3 linked regions of the Oreochromis niloticus genome follow. The protein of the gene in region 3 interacts with the protein of the main gene of each other region in a pairwise test. Links are inferred from orthologs where the notes say so. Each region holds a gene or a part of one and is shown on either strand. Other genes may lie near its edges. The genes, in order: ttc19, trim55b and tcap.

Region 1 (6,993 bases), on a different chromosome or scaffold from region 3:
CGTGCCTATATAACCTGCAATAAGAAGAGTACTGTGTGACTCTCATTAGAGACTTCACCCCATGTACATGTGATTGATTATATTGTCTCACTGTGTCTCTGTTTTACTTTGGCAGCCTTCTATTTGGGAGATTTCCCCCGACACTGTGTTTTGCCAGAAACGCCAGATTCTCAGATTAAAGCTCACAAAACTATTTCAACAACCACCAAACAGTAAATGAGAGCAGGCACACGGATTCCACACAAAGACGTAAACACAGACCTGATGCATCAGAATCAGCTTTGTCTTTCTCGGCTTTCTCACCCCACGGCCCGAACACGGACACGCTGTCGGAACTTAGCAATTCTGATGCGTCGGGTCGGCGCTGTGTTTCCGTCTTTTTGCGCTGATTCTGAGCTGCAGGTTTTGTCTCTCCAACCAAAATTCGCCGAGCCAGCAGCAAAAGAAGCAGCAAACTACGCTTCACATTTGATCAATGTCGTCATGAATTCCCTCTGACTTTTGCTGTTTTGCTTCCACCACGATAAAAATCACACTTCATGCACAGCTCCCTCTCTCTCTCTCTCTCTCCCTCTCTCTCTCTCTGTACATCAAGATCAGTTTCCCGTCTCAAATCTCTGTTTTCTGCATTATTCATTGGCTTATTACCCACCAGTCTACCGTTGTTTACAGCGCTGTCGGCCGCTGTCTTTTTCTTTTCTTTTTCTTTGTTCACTTATATGACCTCGGACAAGAAAGCCTAATTTCTGCTGTTCAATACTGAAGAAATTTAAACTTTTTAAAATTATGCAAAATTGCAGAATATTTTTAAGGTTATCTGCTATAAAACGCCAGACCAGGAAAATCTCCTTCATGTTTTTCTGTGTTTTATTCTCAGTTACTTTGACACAAAGGCATCTGCTGTGATGTTCACAATTCTGATGAAGTCTCACATGTATCAGTGCTGATAAATGATCAGAAATATAATATTTCTGACTGTCTGAGGCTAAATTGAATCGAATCAGGACTTTGAGAACCAGAATCGAATGGATTATAGAAATCAGTGATGATACCCAGCCCTAGTGAGCAGCCTAGGCCTGACAGAGTGGATGTAGCTGTGGGTAATAAGAAAAGATGAAAAGAACTATTGACAACTTTTGTGTTAAGTTAAGGACTGATCCGTCTGAAATTCACAGCCAGCTCTGACACGGTGCCATCAATCTCTGAATGCTGAAAAAACAGCAGTGTATCCAGAAAACACATTATATGCTGCAATAAATGCACTGCCCAAGTGTCCCCTCTCCCCACTGCCTTTCAGCAGCAGGCAGCAGCAAACAGGTCGTCAGAGGAGCCGAGATGATGATTAAGTTTAACATTTTCTACAGTATTGCCAAAGAGTGCCAACGCACTTTAACTACAAGATTGTTAGTTAATAATTTAGAAATGAATATTGTCTGTATGGACAGCAATTTCCCCCCCAAAAAAGTGCACATGTAAAACTGCGGTGTTAACTGAGGCGGTTGAAAAATTTGAGTGCGCCTAACTTCTGTGCTTTAAAAAAAACGTTAGGCACACCGGTGCAACCGTGGCAAAAAGTTAGTCTAGAGCCCTGTGTCACACACCTGTCCCCGGACTCACACCTGACTCACACCTGTCCCCTGGCTCACACAGACTCAGCCTTTGTTCATAAAGTGCTTTACAAAGCCCAACATCACGGCTAACAGCTGGTTTTTACCAAAACAGCCACTTCCTGCTGCAGACAGTAAAGTGGACGCTTTATCCTGGTTTATAACATGAACTCATCGCTGCAGCACTACAGTCAGATGACCACAACCAACCAATCACATGAAGTCACACTCCACGCTGACAGCAGATGGTGCTGTCAAGTAACTTTGTTACTTAAACCCAGCGTCACAGACAGAGTTCCACCTGTGTGAGAGCACGGTCAGTGTTTCATGTCCTCTTTAAGCACCACTGGTCAGGACACACTATTCTTTAATATACAGCATCACCACACACACACACACACACACACACACACACACACACAGTAGCACTGCTGTGTGTGTGTGTGGTACCTTGGCTTTCTTTAGCAGCAGGATCATCTCGTCCTCCTTCCTCTGAGCTTCATCACGTTTGTCTTCTTCACTGCTGCCAAACAGAGAGAAGGCTGCACACACACACAGAGGTGATGATGTAAAATCAGCAGATTTTTGACTGGAGTTTGGTTCAGTGACTCAGCAGCCGTGTTAACACGCTCCTGATCCTAAGCTTTTACTTTGAAAGGTGTGCTGGAGAGCCCTGACTGCAGCTCAGTGTGAGGTCACAGAGGTCACAGGAACCTGCAGGTTATGAAAGCTGATGAAGAACAATGTTTGTAACCAACCGTACCGAGCGCTGCCCACAGCACCCCTCCTCCTCCTCCGCTCACGGTTACCCAGCATGCCGAGCAGCGTGAGCCCTCCACAGGATGTGATGTCACAGCGGTGTTCTGACATCTGACAGTGTTAATGCTCAGACTGCAGAAGCAAAAGAGAGTAAAAACTTCAAACTTTTAGTTCACATACACATGATATGGTTGCCACGGTTACTGTCATATTACCACGTGGTTACACCTGGTTGACAAGTTCTGGTCATGTGTTTGTGTGTGTGTGTGTGTGTGTGTGTGTGTGTGTGTGGCCTCCTCTCTGTGTGGAACAGAGCAGGTGCAGATGTTATTCCAGCTGTTCTGCTGCTGATGTTTGTTGTTGTCAGAAATTCAAACCAGCAACCTTCCTCTGCCCATCAGCACTGAACGCTGCCTGCAGTGATGGGGACCCGAGAAGCTGTAAAAACTGCGGATTTTTGAATGGACTCTGGTGTGAGGACGCGGGAGGCTCAAATCGTGTGAAATGTGACCGGAGCCTGGTGCGTAGGTTTCAGTCGCTCACCTGTGTGCAGCTCGCGGGTGATGCAGGCTCCGCCCGAACCCCCCGAGCCTGCTCAGAGTCTGCCTGAGGACAGCACGGAGAACACCGGAGGCCGCCATCTTTACTGTTTACATAACGAGCGGAAGACACGACGCCAGACACTGCGCCTTCAAAATAAAAGCAAAGAATCTCTCCAGTGTGGAATAACTGAAAAAATCGATCAGCAAATATCTCCACAAATATCTCAATTTCTTATTGAGATGTTATTAATCAAATACAGAGAATTTTACTCCATTCGTCATTGATTCTGATTTATTTTGAAAGGATAATTTCTAACACAGCCAAGTTATGATCGGTCGTGTCTTTATTGTAACCTTTCACTCACTGACCACTACAGGAAGTACACGTGCTCATCGATCAGAAATCCGACCAGCCCATCACAGGACAGCAGCTTCAGAGTCTGAAAGCAGGGGTCCATCCTGCAGTGTGATGGGGGCGGGGCACAGCTTACTTGAGTGTTGCTGCAAACCTCGTCCGTGCCTTTATGACGTCAGCGTACCATCTTTTGACGTCACAAAGCTCCGATGAGCTCAGACTGGTTTATTAAACATGACGCTGAGTTCATTGCACGCAGCCACAGATCTCAGTCCCGCAGAGCCCTGTGATGATGTCATGATAATGTCAAATGAACCAAAATCTGAATCCTGAAGAACGAAAACAACTCCGAAGCCAATCGGGCTCCAGCCTCCAGGCTGCTAGAGTGGCCTTTAATACACTCTCAGCCACTTTATTACGAGTTTTACAAACAGAGTTTTCAAAGTAAAAGAACAAATTCGACACACGTTTATCAAAGCTGAGACCGGAAAACCTTCAGAATCGAGCGTCTGGGTTCAAACGGCGAATCTGTGTGTGGGGTTCAAAGCTCAACACTGGGGCTGTGTCCGAATTCAGGGGAAGGATGCTTAAAATGCCATATTTGGATGCAATGACGTCACAGCGACACGACGAGGACTGTCCGAATTCAAAGAGCACTCAAAATGTGGCGACAAATGCGTCCTACTTTTCTGCGAATTTGAGGCGTAGCTGTGTCCGAATTCAGAGGAAGGATGCTTCGATGCCATATTTGGAGGCAATGACGTCACGGCGACGCGACGAAGGGTGTCCGAATTCAAAGAGTACTCAACATGTGCCTCCTACTTTGCCCTGAATTCTAAGGATGGTCCGATGTATCCTTCGTGTCCTACTATATCCCAGGAGTCATTGCGGGTCATAGAGGAGATTTGTTTCTGATAACGATGGTGGTCGCAGCAGGAGAGGAAAACACTTTCAAATGTAAGTATATGAAAATCTGCTTGTACAAAAGTTAAATTGTTATATCGGTCGTGTTGTTAAGCTTTGGGCATCTGCATAGACATGTTTCTTTTCTTTAAAATAACCGTAAACCAGCTTGTATCGGGGGTCCCGCGATTTTTCATGTATTGCCGCCTACATACAGCTAATTTTGATTTTTTTCGAATTGGTGATATGTTGTGGGGAACAAAGACCAAACGGCTTAATTTATTAAAACAAGGAGAAAACGATCGCCTCTTCACTGGGGTGAAGAATTGGGCCGCTACGGCGTGGATGTACAAGAATAAATCAATGTACACATCATATTCATATGAGTGCGGTCCTATTAACCCTCATGCTGTACAGCAGCGGTCCCCGACCTTTTTGCGCCACAGACCGGTTTATGTCAGACACGGAGCCTTTAAGGTATCGCGGATAAATACAACCACATAAAATGATCCGACCAAGACAAAAACTGTGGTATTTTGTAAATATAATAATAAACGTGAATGTACTGTGTAATTGTGTAACTTTATTAGCAGCGTCCTCCTGAAAATGCGCCAATATTGACAGTAACATCCTCCTCTCTGCCGCTTAATGCTCTCTGGTCGCTATGGCAACGTGTAAATATTTCTTTCAAAATAAGACACAACTACAACAAGGGAAAGACTCAGGGAAACCGAGTTAACGATAAAACCCCTGAAAACCATAAATTTCACACCGGAGCCTTAACTCTGTGGCCCGGTACCAAACGACTCACGGACCGCTGCTGTACAGAACCTGTGATGTCCAGACGGTGTTCCTCTGGTGTTCTGCTGTGAAAACCTTTGGGCTTAGGGATTAACATAGTTGCCATGGTTTCCTTTCTTCTCTTATTTGTTGTGTGTGATCAGGACAATTCTGGAGAGGATGGGCCTGCAGGGGAAAGTCACCCCCTTGCAGGCCAGAAGACATGAGATAACTTTAAAGAATACAAAGTACGTATGTGTGTTATCAAGAAGATAATTCTCAAGAACACAAGTTAATAAATGTGCAATTACTAAGAGTTGTTGTGGTGTTTTTATTTGCCTGCTGTCATTTTTGATTTCCTCTGCCTTTAGGATTGCAAGTATCCAGGCTCAGGAGAGGGGGTCAGTGGGAAGCCCACTGCTGCTACTTGGCCCTGGTTTGCCCTCATGGATGAGGTGATAGGACAGATGCCTTCCATTAGGCCTCCTGTCCTAATGTCCTCTCTCCCTGAGGACAGTCCAGGGCCAAGCACAGCAGTGGGTGACCAAAACGACAGCGATGACAAAGCGGCTCAGCCACCTACGACAGGGAGAAAGAGGAAAAGAGATGATGAGCTGCTAGACCTCATCAGAGAGGACATGAGGCAGCAAAGAGAGGCTGAGGAGAGGAGAGCAGGGAGAGGACGGACAGACTGTTTTCACTTCTAGAAAGATTAGTTCCCAAATGAGTTATGTATTGAGAAATTTATTTATTTGAATATATTTGTTACATTGTTATATGTGTTGCATTAGTTTAAAGGTTTTATGTTATTAATAAATTGATTCAAACAGACAGTAATTGTCACTGAACTCAATCTGATTTACAGGCATTTGTAACACGTATGAACATAACGCTAACTTTGAACAATATTACTTGGATATTTATTTGATAGCAATAAAGTAAATAACAATAACAATTAAACAAGAATATTTCAAATACACAGTATGTAAAGATGAAAAAACAACATTTACAGTTGTTCACACAGGATTAACCTGAGTGACCTGTTCCTGGACCGTTTCTTTAACAACTGTAATAGATTACAGGAAGTCTCTGGCAGTGTTGCTGAATCTGCCCGAGCAAGATCAGACGTGGATGAGCTGCTGCAACTGAGACCTGCGGTTTGTCTTTTCTGGTGGGCGAGTGGAGAATCACACAGGGTGGTCTGCAAAGAGCTTTAGGATGCTTCCTCCCACTGTCTACTGCATCCTCCATCCACAGGGTTTGCAGGGCTCACTCGTGGCTGCCACACCACTAAGATGTTTTCAGAAATATGCAAGCAGGAGATGGTGGATGCTATATTATTAGTATAATACTTGTAACTCTGTAGCAGACAACAGTTTGATAAAGTGCTATGTAAAAAAATAAACAAAAGATTAGATTCTATACGTTTCAAAGATATTTAGTTTATATATTTTATATGATACAGTACATGTGTGAGAATGACCGATGTTGTGGCAAAAAATGATCGTCTGCCAAAAACTGATTTCCGGTTTTTGCCCTAAACTGATTACTCGTATTTAACCTGCTATGAATAACTTGTTGGTCTATAATACGTGAAACATGTGAAATGTGTCCCTCATTAGTGATATCACGTCACTCTGAGCCACCAGCAACATTCCTGTAACAGGTAGAAGCTGCAATCAGTTTTTGGCAGTGACTTTTATATATCCTTTATTTATCCAGTTAAAAAAAAATCTTATTGGCATTAGAAATGTATTTTTTAAGAGTAATCTGGCCAAGAGGACAGCAGACAGCGCAACAAATATATCAATTGTACCTACATTATAACCAGAGTTATAAAGATACTTGAACAACAGGTAATTATTGTAGTAAACCATGTTCACCGAAGTCTATTTACCAACATACATAAAGATATTACACATATTACACTCGGAAACATTGGAAATCAGTTTTGGCAGGCGAACACTTTTTTGGCACAACACCGGCAATAATTAAATTATCCGTGTAATTAGCTACGTAATTCCTAAATGCGTGTAGATTAAAGGAA
Region 2 (7,915 bases), on a different chromosome or scaffold from region 3:
CATTTATTTTCCTCTTACTGCCTCTCTGTCTAAATCTCACAGATGGATAAAAGCAGAAAGAGTGGCCGTGACAAGGACACATTACATCAGTTTGGTCGTCTGTGCAGGTACATTAGTGTGTGCACGGAGTGAGGCTTGCTGCGTGAGTGAGCGGCCAGGCACTGCAGCAGTCGGACACTGACCTCTATGGCACGACAGGCTTCCTCTAGCTGACTAATGATGCCCTGCATCCTGTCGTTGTTACCAACCACCATGGCAATCCCGTCACTCAGCTCCGTCTAGGGGGCAAGGACATGGCAGCATGACTACAGACTCAAATCTGGGGCAAATCTATGGTTACACTATGATATACTTCATGATGAAACTGTAAAAAACACATCACCATGGCTGACAGTATCCGTAGCCTTTGTAAGCATCTCAGGCCTCACCTTCTTCGTCTGGTAGATGCTGCTGAGAGGAGCCACCTCGCAGTCTTTGTGGGCTCCAAAGACCTTGCACATGGAGCACGTGGGCACACCGTGGGTCACGCAGTAAATGTTGATCTTTTCGTCCTCGTGAATATCACACATGGGCGTTTCTTCCTTTTTCTCTGGTGCTGGTTTGCTGCTGTTGAGGTGCGATGGAAATAGCGGTAGTATCCCGTGATGCTGCACATTTGCATACTGATGTGACATGCAGTGTCAGTTTGATAATGTCACTGTTACACATCTCGGCATCTAAACAGCTTATCGATGACCCATCAGGTGTGCCCTGCCATTCACATGCACTGCCAGCACTGTAATCAATAGGTCATCATCATTGCTGAGTAGTGTGGGAGCAAGCATACATGATTCATGTTTTTATACCTTAAAAGTTTTCTCCCTTTCCTTATTTCTTAAGTTTATACATATTTGTCACACCATCAGACAAAGATAATAAAAAATGAAGTTTTTAAATAATGATTTCATTTCAGTGAAAAAGCTATCCAAATGCACCTGCCCTGTGTGAAAAAGTAATTGTCCCCTAAACCTAATGACTAGTTGTGCAACCCTTGGCAGGAAGAACTGCAATAAAGCTTTTGGCGATATCTGGCAATGAGTCTTTCACATCACCGTGGAGGAATTTTGGCCTGCTCTTCTTTGCAGAATTGCTTTAATTAAAACACATTTAAAGGGGCTTTTGAGCACGAACAACCTGTTTAAGGTCCTGACTTTGAGTAGGTCGTTCCAAAACCTTACATTTGCTTGTTTTTAAGTCATTAAGAAAGGATAAATGTCAATCTTTGCAGGATGTGAATGTTTGCATTTTAGACCGAGGAGACAGTTTAAAAGACGATGACGGATCATTAACAACACCAACTGTCAACCACCTACAATGCAGTCTCAAGATCCGTTTCCCAGGCGGCTCAACACCCACTCACACGTTGCGCCAGGTGAACTCAACGGGTCACATAATGTGGTCTCACGCAAGATCTCGCAGTGATTTCATCTGAAGCCTCAGGTGGTAATGACCCACTCCTTTCTTCCCAGTTTGGCTCTTGTGATGATGGACAGGACTACTAGTCGGGCAACGATCACCTCTTAAGGGGAAATCCATTAAGGTTTAAATACCTGGCACTCTCTACGTTTTGGTCTCAGAACTGAAGAAGCATCTCGGATGAGAGGCTGTCATCCTATAAACTCTACTTAGGATAATGGTAATGAAATAATGTCACAACAGCAAAAAGTGTTGTGGATATCATGTCATACAAGCCTTTCAGTCATCTGCTGGATAAAAAATCTGTGTGGATGACTACTGCAAGTACAAACGTCCTCTCACCCACTGCAGATCTCTGACTCAGAAGCCAGAGTTAGTGTTTCACTTCCTGCTACTATACTTTACTGCCCTACAAGGCGAGTTTCACTAATAAAAACATCCTCCTGTCAGACATGAAGAATTCTTTTCATTTTCTGTTATTTTGACAAATGTCTGATCTGTCTCACCTGCTGGATTCTTGTTTGAACATGTCAATGATATTCTCAACCAACAGGTTCCTCTGCAGGCCGTAAACACCATGCCTGTCCAGAATCACCTCGTGTCTGCAGGACGGGCATCGGAAACGTCCACCAGAGGTCAACGAGCCGCTTCTTGTTGGAAGGTATGGGTTTGAAGCCTGTAAACGACAACAAGGGAAGCTCTGAATTTTGCATGACTGGGTTTTGATGGATAGCAGAAGTAAAATTAATTACATTGTTTAACTCAGCAGTTATGAAATATTAATCCAGGGGATTAACAGTCCATAACACAAACTTCAAACCACCATCATTAACATTCAATCCACATGTTTGTAAACAGAGCCTATAGGTGTTAAATTTATATGTCACTATTTGGGTCTTTGATATGTGAAAATTCAGACCAACTTTATAAATAAGTACCAATTTGAGCCATTCAATAGCTTACCTGGAAAACATCATTGGCACATTTTCTGCACAGGTTGTGCTGGCAGGGTAGGATGACCACAGGCTTTGTAAACATTTCCAAGCATATTGGACAAATCAGCTGTTTCTCCAAGTTGTCCATGGTGTCAACGATTTCACACGCAACTAAACAACTTAAAAAGTCTGAAAAGTTTAGTATGAAGTCCTTTCTAAAAGCAATCTATCATAGGCCCAGCTTCAGGCTGAGTAGTAGGCCTGTTATGTTTGTCCTAGCGGGTGTAGACTCCTATCTCCTCTGTGTCAGTTCTGTTTTTAGCAGCTACTGCTGTCACGTCTAAGGTTGCCATTTTTGCCTTGTCCATATATGAAACTAAGTAGGGCAGTGCTGAAAAGCAGCCCATCCCCAGCCTCTTCTACACGGGGTGCCATGTGGCTATGTGTTTGAGAGGATAGGGGCAAGTCATTTGGCAAGTGATGCAATCATAGGCTAACTTTGATTGTGACTTTTATATCTAAAATTATTGATAGCATCTGACAGTCTCTACTGAAAACACCTAGTACTCAGTACCTTTTTACCATGTTGCCGATCAAGTGCCAGCTTTGCATTAATGTTAACTTAGACAATAGACAGCAGCCGGAAGCTATCAAAAGTGACTTCCAGTCAAAGTTGGGAGGAGACCATTACGTAAGAGGGAAGATAACCACGCACAGGAGAGGTTTGTTACAATCCTAGGTTCGCTGGCTAAGCTCCTAGTTAAAGGAGTGATCGTGATTTTACCTAGCATTAAACAAACTATGGCATGTGTAAAGCATTTTTTGCACATGGGTATTTGCACTTAGAGAACAGCATAAGGACGACAACCGTAACATTAGGTGTATTCACCGCATCCTTAAAAGTAGGTGATAACTGCTACTATTTTAAAAAGAACAATTCAGCTAAAATATTTTGGTGTTTGTTAGCGTGTTCGAGGCCTTACATTGAAGGAAAAATGAAAATGTTATTGGAGAATGCGGGCATCGATCCCGCTACCTCTCGCATGCTAAGCGAGCGCTCTACCATTTGAGCTAATTCCCCGGTACGGAAGTTGTTCGTTGTGTGTGTATTTATTGTTCGTGAGATACGTAATTGGTTCAATGTGACGGTGTAGTGTTTGATATATTTCACATATCATGCCGAAATACAGTGCGGTAAGGTAGCATTATTAAGCTGTCTAGGTTAGCTCTAACAAATGTGAATAATAACAGGGTTTAATAGCTGCTAAGTTATTGAAAGGCTCGCAATGTTAAAGTTCCTTTGAGGGCAACCAAGTTACTTCAAATATGTGGGGAAACTCTCACACACAACTATTTAGCTCAAGTGGAAAACAGTGGCGAATGCGAATTTCCAGAAAACATGTTAACCGAAGAGGGCGTCCGCCATATCTGCCGATCTCATAAATACACAGGGGGTGGAGGTAGTCGTCAGCTCCCTTCGATAGCTCAGTTGGTAGAGCGGAGGACTGTAGTGGCTTCCCAGGCATCCTTAGGTCGCTGGTTCGAATCCGGCTCGAAGGAGAGAAATTTTTTTTTTTTTCCCTCCCCTAAATTCAATTTTGAGCGCTTTTACAAATTTGCTAAGAATTGCTGTTCTATGAAGCTTCTCTAATCATTTCTTTTAATGAAAATACATATTTCAGATGTTGAAACAAAATGGCTAGTATTGGCAGTTAATGTATTTTTCTACAAATAAATGCAAATCCATAAAAACAGATGATGATTTTCTTAAACTTTCCCACAAAATCAAGTAGAGTTTTGGGGTGTATAAAAAATAGAAGTGAGCTTGAAAATGTTTGGCACTGCACTGCCTGCAGTGATGGTCTAGTCAGCATAAATACACAGCATATCCTGCAAATCTGCTGTGCATGTTAAATAAAAAATGATCACACCTGCAAGCACTGTTCAAAAAGGGAATTTAAAAGTGATTGTTTAGTGTTTGATTATCTCTCCACTCGTGATGAAAACAAACTTTATCACTTTGTTTGACTGTGAAATGACTTATAAAGGTGCTGCGAACACATTCAGATGGATGACTCAGAGACCGTAATTAACAGTTGTGTGGAGGACTGTGGCAAGCGTCACACACTAATAAAGCGCCTTTGTTTATTTCTGTGCTGTTGCACGATTGTTATTCCTCCGTCCACTGATTCTCATTAGCGGTATTTCAATTACAAATTAAAACCCCTGTCCTCTGCTAATGGAGTGCTCATCTTCATGAATCTGTATGAGTTCCTCACTTTATTTCCAAATATTTGTCACGTCTAAATGTCCCATGCAAACGAAGCAATTAAAGATGCACTTTTTCAAAACATTTGACCTATACAAAAAAATTTACATACTCTTTAATTAGAAACTCAATGTCAAAGCGAACGTAGCAGGATCCTCATAGTGGAAGCTTCTGACCCATTTAAGCATACCTCATCTTTTTCTTTTTTCTTTTCATCTGACTCATACAATATGACATCTGCCTTCCTCGCACCTCTTTTCCTTTTATATAAAGCCACATGGATGTGCACACAGTGCTTTTCATGCAGAATCAGTGAGTCATATTTAAACATTTTAGACAGATGTCATTACTGAAAATGAATGAATGTCTCTCTCACACTCTCTAATTTGTCTCTTTGTTTCATTTAGTGTCCCCCTCCGGGGTTTGCAAGTTAGGAATCAACTTTAAGAAATGAGAAAAAGGTAAAAAATAAATAAATAAATAAAATGGGGAAAAAAGGATGAGAAATATACACATTCAAATAGTAAAGTTCCCATCTCTTGTGATTTGCAAGTCTATGTAAATGTAAAACAGCGCTCTTACTAATTTTGTCATTTAGCTTTTTATGTGTGTCTCACCCAGTTCTCCTTTCTGTTGATGTGTTTTTTCTCTGTGATGTACTACAAATGAAGTTTTTAGTCATTTTGTGATGCTGTGGGCACACCACTTTATTCAGTTTTAATCAGTAATCTCTAAAAAGGCTGAACTAGCATGATTACATATTCATTAGCGACAAGCAGAGGCTGCTCAGATGCTCACCATTTAGATAAAAGTGAATTCAAATGAGATCAATTAAGGAGATGTTCTGGGTTATGTCTTTGTGATTGAAGTGAATTCATAATTTTTCATCCATTACTATCTGACTCATAATATTGCAGCGCCTGTTAGTAAAAATCCAACAAAGATTGACAAATTAAGAGCAGTGTGGAGATTACTTGGAGATGAAAGGCCAACATGAATGCCAGACAGTGCTGCCTTTGAGGCTAAAAGCTGCCAATTTAAAGAGCACAGTGTGAAACTCCTGTTCCCCTCTTTCGCTCGGCGTTGGTAAGCGGTGCTTTGCGTGAATCGTAAAAAAGGTCTGCATGCACTGCCAAGGCCATGAAATACACCTGCGCTCGCACATAACCGCACACATAAGATGTCTACAAACTCATAAGCAAGATGAAAGTGTATAGGGGACCAGAAAAGGGAGCAGAGCAAAGGGTGCCATCTGTTCACTTGTATGAATATTTCAGTTAGGTGGAAGTCATATTGTATTCACGCAGATGGCAAGCAGTCAGTGGCTGTGATTTAAAAACTCTCTGCGAGCAATTCCAGATAATGTCCATTTCTTCATCTCCATATCTGTCCTAAATGATCCACTGAGCTGAGAGTCTTTGGGTCAGAAAAAGTATGATCATACCCTAGAATGAATAGTAATTTTAAAGGTAGCAGTAATTCACCGTGGATTCGCTTGGGATGAAGAAATATTAATGTAGAACAGTATTTAGCAAGACTTAAAAGGTATTCCACCTTAAATTTACACAGACACTATCAGCTAGGCTTCACATTATTTTTAAATGCCAAGGATGTAGTTAAAAAAAAGCAAGGTCAGATCTTTATCCATTTATGCAACTTCTGGATAGTTCGGGTCTGAACTAGTGATACTCTGGGCAGTTTAGAGGATTTGCCGTCACTGTGTTAATGTTGCAAAAGAACGAAATGATAACGCAGGCCTGTTTACGATACTGTGATGCTATGAACAGTACTGCTGAGGTCATACTGGGGTTTTGTCTGGAGTTACATACACAGAGATACAGCAGTTGTACACCAAATATTTATAGTTGATTTAGCTGCAGCATTCACATTTATTATCTCCAAGAAACAGAAGATCCAGTGCTCGGTGGTGACCCTGATTAGATTTTTAGTGAGTCCTCTTAGTTATCCCAGCTAATAGATCTTTTCTCTGGCGTCTCCAAATGCACAGTGATGATAAGTTATAAAAGAAAACTACATGCGGTCCTGTGTACTGTTACAGCCAAGAGTTTGGATAATATAAGAGGTACTTCATTGTAAAAGTAAGCAATCCCCTATCATATGAATAAATGAGCAGGAACCTTAAACATGCAGTGACCTTTAAGCTTAGCAGTTAGAAGGTGTGCCTCTACTTTTTGGTATTTTTTTTTAAAAGAATGCATTTCAGATTATCCTCTAAAATGCTTCCAGGTTCATCTGTACCTGTCGGACTTTAGTAGCTTCTGGTCTGCAGACCTTTAGCAGATCAAGAACAGTACAGTACCTTATCCTGTTTGTTTTAAATGAACAATATCATGAAAATCTAATTGGGCATAATGAAATAGTGTCACACTTTGTAGATACATCTTACTTGTTTTAATCGTAATAAATAGATACGTTTTCTAGTACTCCATTGCTGTGTATATAATTAGAAGTTATTTTTGACCCTACCTTCATCACTGACATGCTTTTATTTAAATAAGTAGCAGTGTTTTAGGGCAGAATGTGTTTTAGAAGCAGTCATCAAGAATACTGATCATTTAAGCTATGAAAATATTTAATATTTCTTTATATTTTCTGTTTGTTAGTGGGATTAATGAAAGAAATTACAGGCTGGGATCCATGACAATATAAGTAAAGGTCAGGCTTGAATCAACTCAGACGTGATCTCATCATGTTGAGATCACGTCGTTTGTGATCAAACTCACTGAGTCACAAACTCACTGAGTCACTTTCCAGCCATGCTAAGCTACTTAAAAATACTCAAAACAACCCCCAAAACTCAAAGAGTGACTCTGAAAAAAGGCTCAATCAGCACTTTTCCAGTAGCCACATTATCTTTGGCTTTAAATATTAGAGTCCGTCCACTATACAGGCCACTAACATCTGTATTAAGATCTCATTTAAAATGCACCTCTCATGCTGTTGTATAATATGGCTCAAAATTGCACAACTTGGCTCAGTTGTGTAACAAAACATGTCAACCTACAATGTTTTAGAGCGGAAACATCCCAATCTTGTCATCCATAGATTGATGGAGCTGGACCGGGTGATCCTGAATCCTCCCTTAGTTATGCTTAGTGTTTCTTCTTCACACACACACCACTCCTCATTTAACTACTTATTATTACTCTCTGGCTCTCTTCCACAGTGTGTCTTTTGTCCCGTCTTCTTCTGCTCACACCCAACTGGTCGCGGCAGATAGCTGCGACTCCCTGAG
Region 3 (6,252 bases):
GCAATGTCAGTACTGTAAGTTGAATTTTTAAATTGGTTGTTTGCGTGACTGAGATGGAAGGATGTTTTTCCTGTTCAGCAATTTGCTGAAAATGTGAAAGATTTATACAAGTATGCGATAGTTTGTTTTGGTGTGAAATTACCTTGAAATAAAGTTCCAGCCTAAAGCCTGTTTTATGTAATGCCACATGCATCTTTCTCATGTCAAGTTGCTTGCTATTTATAAAGTTACATAAATTCAAACGAGTGAAATAGACTCTAATTTTCAATGATATTTAAATTTACGTTCAGTTAAGTGTACCGAACAATGGAAACTGTGGCATGGGAGCAGCAGTCTTTTGAAGTGGAACATAAGAATCTTCTTCATCTGTCTGTATACTCTCACGTGGCCCGTCAGCTGTGCATCCATGGCTGGCTTGCACTACTGTCCTGTTCCGAAGTGGCATGTCCAGCGTCTGACCGTCCCAGTGAGACCAGACTGGGTTGGAAGATGGATGGTGATAATGGTGTTTTGGTAGTCAGCTGTTTGTTGTTGTTATGTAAGAGAGAGCAATACACTGTCGAGGGCACATGTTTGAACACGGCACCAGCCCGATGGTACAATGGCGCACAGATACACAAATAACTGGTAACAACTGAGTGTTATGAAGCACTAAAGTTGATACTGTGTGCAGGAATTAATACAAAGCCAGATCCCTTCTTATTATCAAGTACTCTGTGTCAGGTTGACCTGTTCCTCTCTCCTCCCAAAGTCATTTTCGTGTTACAAATAAATCAGACTTAAAGTTCCCCTCTCACAATATTTTGCCATATTTACCACCTCCTGACAAGCCTTGGCTTTATCCTGCAATTGCCCTTCTCTTTCTGTTTTCCCACCTACTCCCTATCTCTTTCGCGGTGACAGCTCATTTAAATGTCACTTTGCAGCAGCTGTGGCGGTGCTCTTATGCAACACAAAGTTCTTCCTGGCCGAGCCAGTCCTAGTGCGGGTGGACAGACGAGGACGTGGGGGGTGATCACTGTGACAGACCTAACCTCATCACTGCTCACCTTTACAAACTATCCACACACCCCTGGCTCCATTTGTATAGCATGACTCACCCGAAAACAGCTAGGAAAGGGCCATTTGATGGCCTCTTGGATTTTGGCTTGTGGATGTACAAATAAATAGACAGCACAAATTTAAATTGTCACTCTGTGTATTACAACTGACTGCTTCGCATAAAGTAGCTTCTAATAAGACATGACCTCAACACAGAAGGAGCTTGCATGGTGACTTACTGGGTTTCTGAAATGGCATTCATGGTTGTCATGGTGTCATAACATGACTGAATCAATGACCCAGGAGATGCTTATCGTTTTCTTTTCTCAGTATGACACTGAGCGACATTTTACATATGTACTGGCAGCCTGCTGGGAGATTGTTGAAGGAAAAGTGAAATATTGTTGGAATTTGCAGGCAAATGGATGTTAGCCTTTAACTGTTGCCTTAAATATGCACGACATGAAGAGTCAGTGGTGAGGAATAGCATTAATTTACCCGAAGTCAAGAAATATAGGCAAAGAATCACAAAGTTATGATCATATTTGTTTTTCAGACAATCTGGCACAGTACAGCAAAAACCTTAAAAGAAAATAAAAAACTGATTAACACATCAGGCTTCTTTTGCTTGGGATGATTATATTTTGTGCTGTGTGTGAGGTATATGATATCTGGTATATGATGATATCAGTACCTGATGTGGATTAGTGAGTCAGAAACGGGAATCGGTAGTAACATCAGACCAGCAGATAACTGTCAGAGGTGAGTGTGAGCGTGTGTGCGTGTGTGTGTTTCACAGTCTGTAACCCGAGTTGATTATGGCCTGCATGGCGCTCTTTCACTGAGGTAATGAATCACTGGAGACTGAGTTCTCACTGCTACTGTGAGACAGTGCAGTGTAATGGCATCTAATGAGGGGGTATGATGTTGTCATGAAGCCTGGCGGGGGTATAAACTTATTCAAAGCTGTATTATGAATAAAAAAACAGCATGAAAAAAATGACACTGCTACATAAACTTGTATGGGTTTTTCACCATTTTTCTCACAACTGACTGAATATAAAAGATGGATGTTGCCTCAGTGACATAATGTGGTTTGTGAACTCACATTTTGCAGCCTCTATAGCTTCTGTGTTATTTTTGTTTTTTGGAGCCAGAGGTGACAATATTTAGGCAAGTGTGTAAAATGCTAATTTGTCAGCTAGCTTGACAAATGTTGTCCTAAAGCATGGAAAAAATTTTGCATTTCTTTTTCCTGGTTCTCATTTTGATGTTTTTTGGCTTCATGTCTAAAACATTGTGGTTAACACAAACTTTAGATAATTTTCACATGTTGCTATAAATATTTAGTCAGGTATTTGCTTGCTTATCTTACATTATAAGCAAGCAAATCACTCATGAATTTTGATCCAACAGATGGCGTGTGCTGCCAATCATCAAATTAGACTACAGAAGTTAGCTTGGTATGGCCACCTTTATTCTTTAACCTGAATGATGGTAGGCAAGCTTTTGTCATTTCTTCAGAAATTCTTCAGTCATCTTTAGAAATAGGGGTTTCAATCCATGACTAATAGTGCTCCCATGTGTTTTTCCATATATATATTCTTTTTCTCCATTGGCAGTGTGTTTGAGATCAATGTCATGCTGAAAAATGAAGCAGTCAAACACTTAACACACCAGATAGTACTGCATTGTGAATCAAAATCTGAGGGTTGCATCCATCTACTCTGACAAAATCCCCCAAACCATCACAGAGCACAGAGATGAGTCCACTGTCAGAGGCTATAAGATGATCATTTATAACCTTCGCTAAAGCTTTTTCTGTCCTGTAATGAGTTCTGAAACATGACTGAAACTCTTCAAATAAACCATCCCTCTGCAGATTATCAGTAAGCTGTTTTACATCTACTTTTTCAAGATTTTTTTAGATGAAAGGAAGGTTGGAGATTGGCCTATAATTACCTAAAACCGTTGGGTCACGTGATGGCTTTTTAAGTAACTGTTTAAAGAAAGAAAAAAGAAAGAACTGCACTGAAAATTAGTGGGAAAAACTGTTGCTCAAGACTGCTTTAAAAAATTACAATTCTTGTAACTGAAAGAAAAATATAAAGATATAAGGGTAGCTCAAGACGTTTGTACACCACTTGATTTGAAGTCATGAGGTGTCAGACACAGCAACATCATAAATTATGTCCTGCAATAATTTAAAAGTTAAAGTTAAAAACAAATATTGTGAATTTCACAAAAAAAGTACAATCTTCTTGGATGGAGTGAAGCCTGACAGATTGCTAATTGATACAACTATGTCACATGACAGTTAAAGCCGCCACGCCCCAATCGTATGAACTTTAAAAGGTTATAAAATTCAAATGGTTTGAAGTTTGCTCTTGTAACATTCAACTCTTGAAGCCTAACTCAAATTGACATTTGAGTTACTGTAGTTTCTGGGTCTACAAGGTTGGCTTCGGTTGGCTCTCCTTTGCTGCTTTGTGTATATCATGGCTATAATCTTATTAAGATTCCTCTGCTAAGTCTAAACCATTTGTGTCTGTCTGTGTACATGTTTACATTATTCCATCCATAGTTTCTATAATATGTCCCCCTCTGTGATCACAAGTGAAATGGAAAGAGTTGGGCTGAGTGATTACAAGAGCAGGCCCAGCATTCAATTTGAGAATCAGGGGATTTTCAGCCGTATTACCCCTGAACCCCACTGCAGGGAACCTTCCAGCTGTCAGGGAATGAGGCACGGAGGACTTGGTGTCAGATGTCCAAGCACACTGATTGTAGAGTGACAACATGAATCCAAAATAGAAACAGAGCATCTATAAAAGCTGTGGACAGACCTAAGCCTGGACATAGACAGCACTAAGAAGGACAGAGATAGTGGAAGAGTAGAAATAAAGCCGACTGAAGCATCACTGTTTCCTGTTACCTTAGGACTGATCAACAAGACCCACTCAAGGCGATAAATCTATCTGCACCTGAGAAGATGCCAATCTGTACCGTGCTGGAGAAGAGCAATGGTGTGCTGGTGGGAGCTGAGCTGACCTGCAGTGTGAGGGAAGAGAACAAGGCTCAGAGGGAGAGCTACACTGCTGACTGGCACAGCGTTAGTCTCAAGACTCAACCTCAAGACAGGTAGGACCAATGAGATCATGTCTTATTATAGGTAACACCCTATAATATGATAAGTTGCTTTTAAATGAGAGGAAAACATTCACTAGGCTGTAATTTCAAACTTTTCTTACTCTCATAAAATATGGATGAAGATTGACTTGAAAATTATTCTCATAGTGAAAAGCAGTTAAATGTTAATTGGGAAGGTAAATTACAATAAGGCCCTCAATAGTTTCTAACTTCAACATTTCTTTGATGCCCACAGGCAGACCATGAACATGAACGACACTTCTCGTAGGGAGACTCTGTCCCGGCAGTGGCAGGCACGTTCACTGACACAGAAGTGTCCCTCTGGTGTCTTTAGGGTGGGCACAGTGGAAAGAGGGGTCAGGGAGCACCAGTTGCTTCCAAAGAGAAACACCCTTCCCTTGCCCATCTTTACCCCCGCAGAGCTGGGCGTCAGGCTCGGACGTGGCGCGCCACACACATTGGAGGACCTGCAGCCATTTCCCACTCCAGATGGAGTGTGTCCCAGCAAGAGGACGGTGGACGAAATCACCAGAGATCTCCCTCCAGTCAAGCCGACCCTCATGGAGTTTGCCAAAGCACCCAAAGCCCTGGGGCGCTCCATGTCTCAGGAGGCCCAGAGAGGGTGAAAAACAAAAGGACAAAAGAAAAAGAGGGGATGCTAGGGAGAGACGAGAAGGATGACAGATGGGAAAGAATATTCAATAAGCAGAGTGTGTCTGGAAACATTATGACAAGATGTATATAGATTTACCTCTAGTGACATCTAATACTGTAGAAGTTTAGCACTCTAAATGTCATATCTTGTCATTGTTGGCATTTTATAGTGAGTGGTATTAGAAGTGGTTATGAGAAGATGTTTGCATTCGGACAGGGAAGCAAGGTGTTCTCTTAGCTGTGCCAAGGCCAGTCTGTGCATGTGCTGGCCAGCTGGCCTCGACATATCTGTTAATCGTTCAGTGTGACCTAACATTTGTACGCACTGGTGCACCTTAACCATTTCTTTAGCCCTTTTTTTGAGTATCGGAAAGTACAGTCTTCATGGTGTAAATGAAAGTGTTCAGAATAAATAAATAGATGGAAAAATATGACAAAGGATGGGAAGAGAAGGGAAGAATCAGAGGGGAAATGGAGGGCTGAGGGATCAGGAAACATGCCTTAGAGCTGGTCAGCCTCCAGGACTGCCTGCCAGTCTTTCATCTGTGTGAAGGGTACAGAATGCACTGGCAAGATCAAATGCTGCAACTGTAGATATGTGTGTGTCCCTCTCTGTGTGAGTGTTGGCACGTCTAATCACAATAACTTAGGAAAACCAATAAACTTTTTTTTTAATGTGCATTAACTGATCTGCCTTTTTAGTCGAGTGGCAGCTCATATTTATGTCTGATAGAGGAACCGATACTGTTATAGCTTAGAATACCTGTGGTCATGTAAATGAATCTGAATTGTGTGTAACAATGCTGTAATATTTTGTTAGACATCTATTATTTTTACTAATAAAAGGTGAACTACTCATCACCTCTCTGTCTTTATGGTTGATGCCTGAAGTGCAACATAAACTTAATTTGATTACATTTTATTTGTGGTACAACATGAAAGAATACAAAACAGCAAATGATTAAAGCCTAATATAGACTAGATTGTTTTTCCAAGGATTCGGGAGGGACATTAATAGCTCTACAATGACCTGCAGGTTTACCACTGTGTGAACCGAACAATATAAGAGAATGGATGAAAATGTATTGGTTCCTGAGGTCAGTCGGTTGTGGGTGGAAGAAAAGGAGAAAATAAATATAAATGTGCAAATAAATATGCATGCAGCAACCAGAGGTTAGAGGCCAAACCATGACTTGTTCCGGTAACAGAACAAAGGATCACTTGCATTATGAAAACATGCATTTTGGGAGGCACCGTTATGAGACAAAGATGCAATAAACAGCTGGGGATCTGTCAACTATAATTTAGATAAGAATGCATTTTCACTGTGCCCTCCACCCTTTAGAACAGACCTCACTTTACGTCCCTCATTTATCTTTTATGTGTTTGTTCTCAATCACAGAATGC

Evidence for each region.
Region 1: the proteins of tcap (region 3) and ttc19 interact in binary tests that used the Homo sapiens proteins (3 or more experiments, as listed by UniProt). The link is inferred for Oreochromis niloticus from reciprocal best matches to the Homo sapiens genes TCAP and TTC19.
Region 2: the proteins of tcap (region 3) and trim55b interact in a two-hybrid assay, tested with the Homo sapiens proteins (2 studies listed by BioGRID and IntAct). The link is inferred for Oreochromis niloticus from reciprocal best matches to the Homo sapiens genes TCAP and TRIM55.

Annotation. Positions count from the first base shown.
Region 1 is NC_031982.2:34,780,639-34,787,631, reverse strand, and holds the start of ttc19 (tetratricopeptide repeat protein 19, mitochondrial), read right to left. Parts: upstream 3,064-6,993; 5' UTR 3,008-3,063; coding exon 2,910-3,007; intron 2,499-2,909; coding exon 2,371-2,498; intron 2,150-2,370; coding exon 2,058-2,149; intron 1-2,057. UniProt on the Homo sapiens protein: Required for the preservation of the structural and functional integrity of mitochondrial respiratory complex III by allowing the physiological turnover of the Rieske protein UQCRFS1.
Region 2 is NC_031974.2:19,332,659-19,340,573, reverse strand, and holds the start of trim55b (tripartite motif-containing protein 55b), read right to left. Parts: upstream 3,060-7,915; 5' UTR 2,539-3,059; coding exon 2,419-2,538; intron 2,132-2,418; coding exon 1,962-2,131; intron 607-1,961; coding exon 429-606; intron 279-428; coding exon 183-278; intron 1-182. UniProt on the Homo sapiens protein: E3 ubiquitin ligase that plays an important role in regulating cardiac development and contractility, muscle growth, metabolism, and fiber-type differentiation.
Region 3 is NC_031969.2:27,060,398-27,066,649, forward strand, and holds tcap (telethonin), read left to right. Parts: upstream 1-3,890; 5' UTR 3,891-4,033; coding exon 4,034-4,182; intron 4,183-4,426; coding exon 4,427-4,817; 3' UTR 4,818-5,703; downstream 5,704-6,252. UniProt on the Homo sapiens protein: Muscle assembly regulating factor. Mediates the antiparallel assembly of titin (TTN) molecules at the sarcomeric Z-disk.